3 linked regions of the Saccharomyces cerevisiae S288C genome follow. The protein of the gene in region 2 interacts with the protein of the main gene of each other region in a biochemical or structural test. Each region holds a gene or a part of one and is shown on either strand. Other genes may lie near its edges.

Evidence for each region.
Region 1: of the proteins of MIH1 (region 2) and YCK1, one has a biochemical effect on the other in vitro, tested with the Saccharomyces cerevisiae proteins (one study listed by BioGRID).
Region 3: of the proteins of MIH1 (region 2) and SGV1, one has a biochemical effect on the other in vitro, tested with the Saccharomyces cerevisiae proteins (one study listed by BioGRID).

Annotation. Positions count from the first base shown.
Region 1 is NC_001140.6:372,194-376,546, reverse strand, and holds YCK1 (serine/threonine protein kinase YCK1), read left to right. Parts: upstream 1-2,236; coding exon 2,237-3,853; downstream 3,854-4,353. Other genes in the region: ARO9 (aromatic-amino-acid:2-oxoglutarate transaminase), read right to left, coding at 1-838; SPL2 (Spl2p), read left to right, coding at 1,447-1,893; metalloendopeptidase WSS1, read right to left, coding at 3,989-4,353. UniProt on the Saccharomyces cerevisiae protein: Casein kinases are operationally defined by their preferential utilization of acidic proteins such as caseins as substrates.
Region 2 is NC_001145.3:341,173-345,596, forward strand, and holds MIH1 (putative tyrosine protein phosphatase MIH1), read right to left. Parts: upstream 2,349-4,424; coding exon 684-2,348; downstream 1-683. Other genes in the region: IMP2 (endopeptidase catalytic subunit), read left to right, coding at 1-503; stress-responsive transcriptional activator MSN2, read right to left, coding at 3,231-4,424.
Region 3 is NC_001148.4:863,578-868,490, forward strand, and holds SGV1 (cyclin-dependent serine/threonine protein kinase SGV1), read right to left. Parts: upstream 2,846-4,913; coding exon 872-2,845; downstream 1-871. Other genes in the region: GPH1 (glycogen phosphorylase), read left to right, coding at 1-437; ORC4 (origin recognition complex subunit 4), read right to left, coding at 3,138-4,727. UniProt on the Saccharomyces cerevisiae protein: Serine/threonine-protein kinase component of the BUR kinase complex involved in transcription regulation.

The sequences.
Region 1 (4,353 bases), on a different chromosome or scaffold from region 2:
GGTTTTCTAATGGCTCTTGCGGATTATAGGAAGGAAAGTACAGATAACCGTAGGGATCATCTTCAACAATGAGGAAATCGTGTCTTTGGGCCAACTGGTAAATTTTCTCTCTTTTCCACTGGGGGACAGACATCCCGGTAGGATTTTGGCCCGTTGCAATGGTATATAGGACCCTTGGCTTGTTTAAGTCTTTGTATGGTCCAGTTGACCAATTATCGAGCAACTGCGTTAGATATTCGACATCAATACCCTGGGACTCTCTGTCGAAGGTCAGGTTCATCTTGATGGGGATGACTTTTGCTCCTGTAGCCTCCACATTGGACATAGCCGGGGTGAAAGTAAACTCTTCAATCATCACAGTGGTCGATTCGTCGCAAATTGTTTCAAAAACCTTAAACATTGAATCGTTGGACCCGCCAGAAAGGATGACATCCCAGTTAGACTCCGTCTCATCGGAAAAGGCTGGGCGATTAATTCTGGACACAAAATCTTTAACAAAATGTAAGAGAGGGGGTAAACCCTTGGTTTCTGCATATTGGAAAGAACGTGCAATGGGTAGCTCACTGGGGGATCCCAAGTCCAAATGCGCCGTGGTAAACGAATTATGCCATTTTGGGTTATCATTAAAAGGAACTTTTGATATTTTCAAATCCATAGATTCGATAGGAAAAAATCTCTCGTTTGGCATTCCACCAGCTAGCTCAATGACGTCATCTGAGATATCAGAAGCATCCCAAAAGCTTTTCAGAGATCTATTTTCTACTCTTCTGGAGAGAAACGGTTGGAAGTTCTTCTTTAAGGAAGTGTAATCAACAGGGGGGGCAGAACCAGCAGTCATTGAGTCGATGAGAGAGTGTAATTGTGGTATGTGTGTATTTTTATGTTTACACTGGGATATTACAAGACCAAATCAAGCTTTTTCCTTTATATATATCAAATATTTATAATGTTTCCTACCCCAATGATGGTTCGGTTATCCGCGGCAAATCTCGGTAAGCATCGGCAATGCTTCCGCGAGTTACCGCTTTTTTTTTTTTATTCCTTTGTTATTATCTACGGCCGTCGGCGGCAATAGTATTTTTGCTCACGTGACCGACAAGGGTCCATTTTATTGCGGTACGGCTCTCTCTTTTTTTTTTTCTCCTCTTCAACTTCTCTCTGATTGCAAACAATATATAACATAACCATGTTCATTACGTACGAAAATATATATACATAAATGCATGGCAGTTATGGCAATTACAACTACAACGCCGTAAAGTTCCAAACGCAGCGGCCTGAGATAGTAAATGATGTACGCACGTGGGCGAAAGTTCATTACTTTGACTGTTGTAACATACCGTATCTCTCTTTTCCCACGTGCTCCGCTCTCTTATCTACCTTGGCGGTACAGCCCTGCGCGGAGTCACTGCAGCCACGTGCCTAGATCTATTACTATGACTTCCCATGGGCACATATACGCCATTAATATACAATATATATAACGTTCATATATGGGTATTTACAGAGAGCCAGGGGCAAATTGGACAGATGTCTCCACGCGGCAAAATGGAAACAGCAGTTTCACAAGGACAACACAAACAACTTAAAGATGGTCACCAGCATAAGGGAAGAAAACTCTCCGAGGAGATCGCTTCTCTATTGAGGCTCAAAGAGTGCAGGAGGCTCAATCCTGCTAGTTACTATACTCCACGTAGAACATCGCAGTCACAATCTCTCAGTGGATCAACTTTTAAAGAGTATAACGAGTACATTAATGAGAAAGATTCAAGTAGAGCGCAGCGTCAAAACGCTGCCGCCGTTTTAAGCAAGCTCGCCCATGACTTTTGGGAGAACGACTGTGTCATTGACGAAGACATATTCGAAGATTCGTCTGACGAAGAACAATCATGATTGCATCTCTTAATCGTTACACATACATACCTTCTACCTCTGTACTGTTACATATGCATTGACTTTACGATCTAATATAAATCCTTTTGATGTTACCCCGCCTGTGGGCTCGTTCTCCTTTCGTTTCTTACGATTTTTTCGCCGGAACAAGAAAAAACAGAACAAAACAAATCAGCGATCGTATACATGGGTCTTTGATTTCTGCTTGCTTCTTACAAACAACAAACGCAAACCGTTCATTGAGTGCTCTGTGACTGGTTTTCATGTGGATGCCATAGTAGAGAAAAGACACATACAAAAATTTCGCGCATTCGCTGGCCCTTTTCCTGCTCTCCTCTTCCCCATGTCCATGCCCATAGCAAGTACCACTCTAGCAGTTAACAACCTCACCAATATAAACGGAAACGCAAATTTTAACGTACAAGCAAACAAACAACTCCACCACCAGGCTGTCGACTCGCCCGCAAGATCTTCGATGACCGCCACGACCGCCGCCAACTCCAACAGCAACTCTTCCAGAGATGACTCTACTATTGTCGGCCTACATTACAAGATCGGCAAAAAAATAGGGGAAGGTTCCTTTGGTGTGCTATTTGAAGGTACTAATATGATCAATGGCGTACCCGTCGCGATCAAATTCGAGCCCAGAAAAACGGAGGCCCCTCAATTAAGAGATGAATATAAAACATATAAAATTCTGAATGGCACTCCCAATATCCCCTACGCGTACTACTTCGGCCAAGAAGGTTTGCACAATATCTTGGTCATTGATCTTTTGGGTCCCTCTTTGGAAGATTTATTTGATTGGTGTGGAAGAAAATTTTCTGTCAAAACGGTTGTGCAAGTTGCTGTCCAAATGATTACTTTGATTGAAGACTTGCACGCACATGACTTGATATACCGTGATATCAAACCAGACAATTTCTTGATTGGAAGGCCCGGCCAACCTGACGCAAACAACATCCATTTGATCGACTTCGGTATGGCCAAACAGTATCGTGATCCGAAAACTAAACAGCACATCCCATATAGAGAGAAAAAATCACTCAGCGGCACTGCCAGATATATGTCCATTAATACTCACCTTGGAAGAGAGCAGTCCAGAAGAGATGATATGGAGGCCTTGGGTCACGTTTTCTTTTATTTCTTGAGAGGCCACTTACCCTGGCAGGGTTTAAAAGCTCCAAACAATAAGCAAAAATACGAAAAGATTGGTGAAAAGAAAAGATCTACTAACGTTTACGATCTAGCTCAAGGCTTACCTGTGCAATTTGGCAGGTATCTAGAAATCGTCAGAAGTCTTTCCTTTGAAGAGTGTCCCGATTATGAAGGCTATAGAAAACTATTACTATCTGTACTGGATGATTTAGGTGAAACCGCGGACGGCCAATATGATTGGATGAAACTGAACGATGGCCGTGGTTGGGATCTTAACATAAACAAGAAGCCAAATCTCCACGGATACGGCCATCCAAATCCACCAAACGAAAAATCGAGAAAACATAGAAACAAACAGCTCCAAATGCAACAGCTCCAAATGCAACAGCTCCAACAACAGCAACAGCAACAGCAATATGCTCAAAAAACTGAGGCAGATATGCGCAATTCTCAATATAAACCAAAGTTAGACCCTACTTCTTATGAAGCTTACCAGCATCAAACCCAGCAGAAATACCTGCAAGAACAACAAAAGAGACAGCAGCAACAAAAACTTCAGGAGCAACAACTTCAAGAGCAACAATTGCAACAGCAGCAACAGCAACAGCAACAGCTACGTGCAACAGGCCAACCTCCATCTCAGCCTCAAGCGCAAACTCAATCTCAGCAGTTTGGCGCTCGTTATCAACCACAACAACAACCTTCTGCTGCTTTAAGAACTCCTGAACAGCACCCAAATGACGATAATTCAAGTCTAGCTGCTTCTCATAAGGGCTTTTTCCAAAAATTAGGTTGTTGCTAAATATAGAAATGACATTTTTTGCAAGACTACCGTCTTTCTTACATTTTTTGTAATGTGAATATATCTGTATACTTTACAACCGAAACGACATTTACCATACTTATAATTTTCGAGTTCTTCGCTGTGGACAAGAGATTAAGTGAGATCAATAACTTCGATAAGAGTATCTCCCGGGAGTACCTCGTCATCATCATCAAGGATTACAACTTCTAAGGAGCTGCTAATATTATCACTTATTATTTGATCTTTGTTATTCTTCGTCTCTCCGCACCAGCGATCATCTCTATATCTCCTTTCGGCTGCAAAAGCCGCCAACTCTCTCGGGGAATTACCTCTATCTATAGATGATATACCCTCTGGATGCAAACTCCCTAACTTCACACCTTTGCCCCTTTTTCTCACTATCCCTGTGTTAGTACTTATTCCTGTCATAGGATATCTATTTGAACGTAAGTTTGCTCTTCCACCGAGACGTTGACCGTTCCCCAAAAATGTGTCGT
Region 2 (4,424 bases):
TACGAAACACACTAATAGCAATTTCATGGGTTCCGGTACTTCTAACAATCAATAATAATGTGGTCCATATTGCGCAAGTTAAAGGTACCTCTATGCAGCCTACGCTGAACCCGCAAACGGAAACGCTGGCAACAGATTGGGTGCTGCTTTGGAAGTTTGGAGTCAAGAACCCAAGTAATTTATCTAGAGATGACATTATCCTTTTCAAAGCTCCTACAAACCCTCGGAAAGTTTACTGCAAAAGGGTTAAAGGTTTACCGTTTGATACCATTGACACGAAGTTTCCATACCCTAAACCTCAAGTGAACCTGCCCAGGGGACACATATGGGTCGAAGGGGACAATTATTTTCATTCGATTGATAGCAATACTTTTGGCCCCATTTCCAGTGGGTTGGTCATAGGGAAAGCTATAACAATTGTTTGGCCACCCTCCAGGTGGGGAACGGATCTCAAACTGAGTACCGGTAGAGACTGCATTAGCAAAAGAGCCATTTTAGAATGAAAATCAGCTTATTTTTATGAATTTAGAAGTGACCCCGGTATTCAAATGCAAATTTTTTATATTATGTGATTAATCTAATGCAATAAATATAGATGATTGTGATTTATGTATTGATGTTGTTGCCGTTCGGTTCCTGAATATATACTTCTTTTTTTCATAATACTTCATGCACATGTAGTATCATTTTTTATCTTCAGTCTCTAGAGAAGGGAATAACGATCTTCTTGCGGGCCTGGGTAAATCTTCTCGGTCGGAACCAACGAAAGTAAAATCTCCGTCTTGCTCTTCATCTCCACTTACTTGCTGATGATTGCCTCTCTCATCTTCGAAACTAAAATATGATGGGGTATCCAGTCCGTCCATTAGTAGCATATGTGAAGTGCTTAGGTTACTGTTACTACTCATAGACGACTTACTTAAGATGGGGAAGAAATTTTCGTCGCCTGTACTCTCACTTGAATTTAATGATGAACCACTAGAGACTCTTCTGTGGTTTAATGACAGCTTCGGAGGCGGCTCAAACCTGAACGATAGTGCAGAAGATGCCATTGTTGTTGAAGATTGATGGCTATCTCTATAAAAGAAGTTAGGATTTGAAGGGGAAGCTAGTTTTCTAAAAGAATTATTTTTAGTAGCAAATCTTTTAGATTCTCTCCTAAACTTATCCATTTCTTGTTCACAATTCAGCAAATTTTCTTGTGAGTTCATTCCCACGTACTGACGTGGATAACATAGTTCAGGAAAATTGTCAAAAACAGCTTTGTATCCGCCATCCAATATCAATATGTCGGGATAGAATAATTTGGGATAATGATCCTGATTTATTATACGATCACAATTTCTCAAATGAGAGGCCAATGAAGGTCCCCGGTGGGAACTAAATTCGCAATGGATAATTAAAAGAGTTGGTAGAGTGTTGTTGTTGCTAGTATCGCTATGCAAAACTTTATGGATAAATTCGTACTCTAACTCATCTCTCGAGTGTATGTTAACGGAGTTTATTATGTGGCCGCCAGTATATTCGTATTCAAACCGACAATCTATAATACGACATGAATTATAAAATGACTCGCACATATTATTCTGCAGAATATTTTTCAACGTTTCTGGAGAAATTCGAGGGAAAAAGTCATTTGAGTTACGATCGTCATAATAATATGGTATCTGTGTTTTGGCTAGGCATGATTCAAAACATTTCACCCCTACCGAATTAGGAGCTAGTGGACTGGATGACGCAGACGTGAAGTTCAAAGTATTCTGAGTAATGTTAGAAAATTTCTGTGAACTTTTTCTCGATGACCTCGGAATTTTCCCATCTTGCCGTTGCACCCTCCTGCTTGAATTGCTACTGCTATTCATGCTTGGCTTTCTCGACAAGGACCTTGACCTTGAAAAAGAGCTCGACCTCTGGGGACTGCCAGGATACTTGATTCTACTTAAAAGATCATTATCCCTATTATTGGTCAAAGATCTTCTTGATGAGTTTCTTGTTGGACTTTGTAAGGTTTGAGAAGCAAAATGCATGCTTAAGACTATATCATCATTTTCATTTTCATTTTCATCTAACTCATCGCGATGGCCAAGCTGCTTTATATTCGGTGAAGGACCATCAATTTCCTTACTCCTGTGATTTGTTAACAATGGAGATTTATCAAAGGCAAGATTCTCTTTATTGATTAAATCATCGTCGACATTCGAATGTTTGCTTTTTGACTTAAAGAAGGTCTGAACATTTCTAAATATGTTCTTCTTCTTACCAAAGGGACTTTTCAAGGAAATTTTTTGGAAACTAAGAACGTCTTCATTGGCACATTCATCTTCAGTTCCATGAAATATATTGTTCATGGTTTCTTCACCCTCGCTGACTTCAATCCTGGTTTGTCCACTGCTCTGTTTATCTTTTGTCTCCTTTCAAGTTAACTCTCTTTTCTTTGTTTTCGCTTGTAACTTTAAGTTTTCTGATATACGGCATCGAAACAGGGAAAAAACAGATAAAGCATAAAAAAGAAGGAAATAACAGAGTGTAACTGTTGGGGAAATATCATAATGAGAATATTTAAACGCCGGAACAATGTATCAAAAAGGGCTTTACCGCTAATAAGTGGAGTATCTATGCTTTTTTGACGTATACAATGGACAGAAAAAGCGCCATATAAAACATTGAAGCCCCTCTTCATCCTTAGTCCTGAAAATGAGGCCTAGGAAATTAAGTATTCGGCAAAGATACATAATACAGTTCTAAAAGTAGCAAACTGGTAGATACTATTTGTGGCGCAGTTAGCTACCCCAAAATAAAAACGGTAATCTTCTCCCATTAGGGGCACCCCTCTTGCTTTTGTACGATGTGGTATCTTCGATTTTCAAACTGACAGGCATATTGCACAGCATAATGCGCACGGAATTCATTAAACTGTACGGATATATATATGATATTACGGTGCCATATGATATTATACAATATTATACTGTACTGTACTATATTATATTATATTGTATTAATTATATTATACTATACCCTATCATACCAAATATTTTGGCTATATTAATTTTTATCTACGTGTATCTAAGTTGTTACAGGCGGGGGAACTGAATTCCTTCAAAATGTGAAGGTACCGGAAAAATGGCAAAGAATCATGATAATAATAACAATAAGCCGTAAGCTTCATAAGTCATTGAACAGAATTATCTTATGAAGAAAGATCTATCGAATTAAAAAAATGGGGTCTATTAAATGTCTCCATGTTTTTTATGAGTCTTGATGTGTTGCGACAAATTATCGCTTCTACTAAATTTCTTATCGCATATGTGACAAGCAAATGGTCGTTCGTTAGAGTGAACAGATCTCACATGCCTTTTCAAATGTTCGCTGCGCTTAAAGCTCTTGGGACAAATGTGACAGTGGAACGGTTTCTCCTCGAGTTCCTTTGTTGATTCTATTACGACACTTGATCTTCTGGACGGTGTCATTGATTTTCTCCTGTAACTTGGCCTTCTTTCCTTCGTAACCCCAGCACCATTGCCAGTTGAGTTGACACTACTACTGCTTATATTATTTTGTTGATTTGTAAGCGGCACCGTACCCATCAAAGGCACAGCAGACTTCCGCCTCCGAAGGGAAGAACCGATTTTAGAGTTCATGGTATGGTGACCCTGCTGTGGGAAATGGTGATAGAAATGATTTGTTGCAAGAGACGTGGAGGATGATGATGCAGGCGATAATGGAGCCATATTCATTTGAGTGATGGAAAGATCGAAATTTGGAGTAGAATTAGCATTTTGTTCACCTTCCTCTGTCAAAAATGGCATATCATTACTCAAGCCTGTAGTCGCCACTTTCGCAATAACGGACGCATTGTCTGAAAGAATCATAGACGGTTTGATAAATTGTTGAGATGAACTCAAATTTGAATTCGGCAGCATATCGTTCTTGGGGTCTTCATCCTGCTTATTAACCAGGTCGTAGCTTAGTGAATCATCGATTATGGGTAAAGAAGCTCTTTGCCTTCTTGAATAAAGATCGCTGTTGAAGGATTTCATGTTAGTGCTACTGTTATTATGTGACGAGGTGAGCTGCTTGTGTTGAACTCGGTTTAGCTGTTGCTGTAATTGCTGACTTGGATTTATCTTTGTCATAGCATTGGCATCAAAAGAACTTGGGCAAGCAGATTTGTTCTTGCCAGAAGTGGATGTGCCCAAATTATCGTTGAAGTTCATATTATATTCGTTAAGAATCTGTGTCAACTCATTGTCTATGGTAGCGTCATTGTTTTTCGGGTTGCCAGCAATATTTGAGTCTGCATTTGCGTTCATAGTAGTGGTATTCGGACTTGCATTGGAACTTGAGGTAGAATTAGTAGTGATATTGAGATTTGTATTTCTATTGCTTGGATTAATTTTCGGATGGTTCCAAAGGTCCAAAGA
Region 3 (4,913 bases), on a different chromosome or scaffold from region 2:
TGATTATTGGTACTGTTGATGGTGCCAATGTGGAAATCACAAGGGAAATTGGTGAAGATAATGTCTTCTTGTTTGGTAACCTAAGTGAAAATGTCGAAGAATTGAGATACAACCATCAATACCATCCACAAGATTTACCATCTAGTTTGGATTCTGTTTTATCCTACATTGAAAGTGGACAATTTTCTCCAGAAAATCCAAATGAATTCAAACCTTTAGTCGACAGTATTAAGTACCACGGCGATTATTACCTGGTCAGTGATGACTTTGAATCCTATCTGGCCACCCATGAATTAGTGGACCAGGAGTTCCACAATCAAAGGTCAGAATGGTTAAAAAAGAGTGTCCTGAGCGTTGCAAACGTCGGCTTCTTTAGCAGTGATCGTTGTATCGAGGAATACTCCGATACCATTTGGAACGTTGAACCAGTGACTTAGCTGGGAGTTTTTTTTATCTCTTTGGCACCCTTCTCCCCATTTCTAGTAAGCGCTTTTTTCTCTTTACTTCTTCTCTTATATAAAACGCCTTTAAAATAATCGTTATCGGTTTTTTGGCACTCTTTTAAATGGTATATATGATGTTACAGGAAAACTTAGTTGTTTTCATATTGAAAATCCGCGCAGGATAACGCTTGTGTAAAACCGAGTGTCCTGAAGGTGGGTAAGGCGGTCCTTATTATCACTTACTCGAACGTTGACATTGGTACAGTCCCTATCAGGTAGGATGTACTGACGTTTTGACAATAGTTTCGATTTTATGGATTGTTTGAAAAGAGCGAGACAGTGACAAAACGTGATAGATTACATAGTAGTCAGTATACAACTTTCCGTAATTAGCCACGAGGCCAGAAAGGAAGAGAGAATAGTATAACCTAATATAGATCTGCAATATCACTATTTTGGAACTCCTTAGACTCATCTGGTTTCGCTCTTTCATCCTTAAAGCTTCCATTTTTTTTCTCTATTGGTTTACTCGTAAGCTGATGCTGCCCCTGTGAGGGCGAGATTGGGAATTGTGGATGAGAAGGTCTCGAGCCTTGATGATGATCACCAGCCATATTGCGAGAACCGTTTGAAGGATTATAATTTTTATTGATTGGCGCATTGGATTCTTGGCGACTATATTTCTGTGGTTGCCTATTGAAGTTGGTTTCCGGCTTGTTCACGTACCTAGGGTTATGATATCTAGAGTCATTTGGCGAGTTTTTGTACCGGGACTCATTTGAATTACCCTGGTATCTTGACTGAGGCCCCAATGGCAAAGGTACTTTATTATATTTAGAGCTGACATTTGTCTCAGGATGAAATCGATTTACGGGATTCCTGCTGTTGTTGGGTGCAGTGCTGTTGCCGCTGAAGCGATTATTTCTGGAACTATTGTTGGGTCCGTATCTATTAACTCCTGCAGGGGCTGCTGGCGGTGGAATCGCAGTTTTAGCATATCCGCTGTTCACATGATACGGTCTAGGATTTTGATGTAGTTCTCTTATTTTCGAAGGAGGCGGCTTAGCCAATACGTTCTTTGATGGAGGCAAAAAACTTGCGTCATCTTTCTTGGGGCCTCTTGGGATCGCCCCAAGATTTTTCACGACAGGTGATTCACCCTTTTCAACTATATGACCTCTTGGCGCAGTAGGTACTCTTTGGGACAATGATTGGTGCATTTCTTCCTTGTACCTCTTAATATCAGCTTCATGACTTTCTTCCGTCGGTAATGTTATCTTCTCTGATGGTAAAGGGTCCTCTTTAAACCAAGGATGGTGTTTAGCAGACATAGCGGTCAACCTCTTGTAAGGATCTAACGCTAACAACTGTCCTAAAAAATCTAGACCTGTTTCACTTAGATATTTACCAAATCTTTCCCTCAACGTTGGCTTGTAATTAGTTGTTGTTAGTTCAGCACCTGGCAAATATCTAGCCACGGCCCAATCTTCTTCTGTCGGTGTACCAAGTAGTTTGAAAATAACATGTCCCTGATCAATATCCGTTTTTCCCTGTAAAATAGGTTTTTTCTCAAAAAATTCTGCGAAAACGCATCCGACACCCCATATATCAACAGCTGTTGTATACTGTTTATCACCAAGCACCAACTCAGGTGCTCTATACCATCTCGTTACGACTACTGATGTATATTTGGCGCCGGAACCTGCACCACCAGGATACTTTAAGTTTGGAGGACAGCCATAATATAATCTTGCTAAACCAAAATCAGCAAGCTTTAAAACACCGTTGTGGTCAATCAAAATATTTGCTGTCTTTATATCCCTATGCATGAATTTTGCACAATGAATATAATTTAGGCCTTCTAATATTTGTAGCATCATATTCTTTATATCGCACATCTCTAAGTTGATTCTCGGATTATGCAAAACGCCCGACAGATCTGCTACCATATACGGCAGGATCATGTAGAATGACTTATGTAGGTTGCTGGATGCCGCATTTGTAATATCCGGTGAATGGTCATACACCATTTCGATTAGTTTAATAATATTTTTGTGGTTTAAACGCTTTAAAATAGTAATTTCTCGTTGTGCAGTTATAGGAAACAGATCTTTTTCAACGCTAACTATAATTTTTTTCATTGCCACTTGTCTTTGAGTCTCTAAATGAATTCCCTTATAAACCTCACCAAATGTTCCTTGTCCTAATTTTTCATCCTCACGATAATGATTCTGGAAAACTGTACACCCGTAAACTTTCTCACTACTTCTTTTTCTTAGTTTGATGTATGTTAAGTTAGTCTTCGCATCTCGCTGGATGGCTGGTGTACTCTTCACTTTGCCGATTTTGTATTTATTAAATTCGGTTTTTGGAAGAACCGCGGGGGAACCATTATCACTCATATTATTTTACTGTTATTCTGCTTGACCACGAATGTACTGCTAATACTATACAATTTCTTTTGCTGGTGTTTGGTAATATTTCTTTTCACCATTGTTAATTTCTCTCTCTACATTGCCTATGCTCTATTAAATGCATATGTGAATTTTTCAAATTCACAGAGGTTTGGTGTATGGGTGTATTTCCGTTCGACGCGATGACCACATAATCTTGAACTTACTTATTAGGAAAGCTGAACAGTGGAATATCAGAGTTGCTACCGCCAATAAAATGTCTGTATATTGTTCCCAAGATTCACAGTTGTGTCCAGGAGTAGTACATATTAGATTTGGGGATAATTCTTCTTAATTCCTGAAGAATGATCTGCATCTGGTAACTTCTCAAGTCAAACGGGATCATGGTGCCCTGAAATTGATAATTGCTAGCGTAAAATGCTGCGGTCGCATTATCTCTCAAACCAACGGCTGATTTCTCGGTAAAAAAATCCAGTTGCACTAAATTTTCCCAAACGTTCTTGACGTCCTTTTTCAACCATAGTTTGATAGTATTGTCGATAGAAAAAGTACTTTGACCTGTTCCCACATTTGTAGTAGGAGCCACGGTGGGAATTCTGGAGTTGATAGCTTTAATCATCTTTTCATACTCTGCATAAGCTAAATTAAAATTAAAAGATCCGTCTTTCGCCCTTAAGGCAACCCTAGCGGCTGAGATCAAAATGGCTAACTCTAAATCGGATAAAGATTGGAGCCTTCCTGTTAAATTATTAGATAGTTGGTTCTTATTGTATATGTCAAGAAAAGAACACGATTTTATGGCAGTGCAGAGTGAACCAAAATTTTTGGATGTCGCTACTAATGGAATTATGCTATTTTTCAATGTAGGTAATGACCTAAAGGTTTCGAAATTCATCCTAATATGTCTATTCAAATTCGATCGAGGGTCGGATAGTTCTTTTTCCAACGTTTCATTCCATTGTGAAACCCAGGGGGAGATTTCAGAGCGAACTGTAAGTAAATTTCTGACGGCGTCAACCATATCGTCTAGATTCTGTATTTGCGGCATATAAATCACTCTTTGAGAAAATCTACTCTTTACCCTCTTTTCTAAATATTCCAAGATATTTAATTTCGTTGTGCAGCCAAAAATGCAAACAGGTACCCGAGAATGTTCTACCATGTCAAAAAGATTGTATAATAAAGTTTGCCTCACAGGCCCAGCAAATGTATCAATTTCATCGAATATAAAAACAACTGTTATCTTTGTTATACTCTCTCTGTCAACCTCACCACTATCTTCATTTCTTGTCTTCGTGGTCGAATCTAAGAGTAAAAGAATTTTCTCAAACACTTCTGTCAAAGAACCACTGCTAATAGTCTCTAATGAAGTATCGTCAATTTTTTCTTCACTGCCATGAATTTTCTGCAACTGCTGTTCCAATTGAGTTGCTATACCGTTAATAGCTGTTTGTTCGGAGTGAATAAACCCATTCAACCTGATAGTTATAAACTGCTCTTTATAAGATTGTTGCAACAAAGACAGTTCATAGTCTAATAAGTATGTTTTGTAACTTTGTCTGGGCCCCACGAGAATTACTGAATGACTCTCTTTCTGAATAATGGATTGTTTAATGATTCTATCGATCTCTTGTTGACAATCTTGTAAATATGTGAAGATTATCTTTTCGTCCGTAGGAAGTGTGCCATAAAGTTGCTGCAGTAACCTTCTTTGAAGGGAACCAAAACCAGGGTCGCTGTCTTTACACTTTTCATTATCTATAGTACGCTTTTTTAGAATCGCTGCAGTCTCCTCTACCTCTTCGTTTGAGTGCCTCTTTATTGGGAGAAGATTGACTTGCGGTGATAGACGAGCTTCGCTTATAGTCATGCTTCTTCTTTTGAATATTACCGATATTAGTAGTTTATATTTGATATTTCTATCAGTATTATTTAGATTTTTTTTTTTTTTTTAATTGTTAATGCTTTTTCTTAGAACTTTCCAAAAACGAAAGGAAAATGGGACATTCAAAAACTTACCTCACATAGAAAAATGATAAATCCAAAAATACACTTG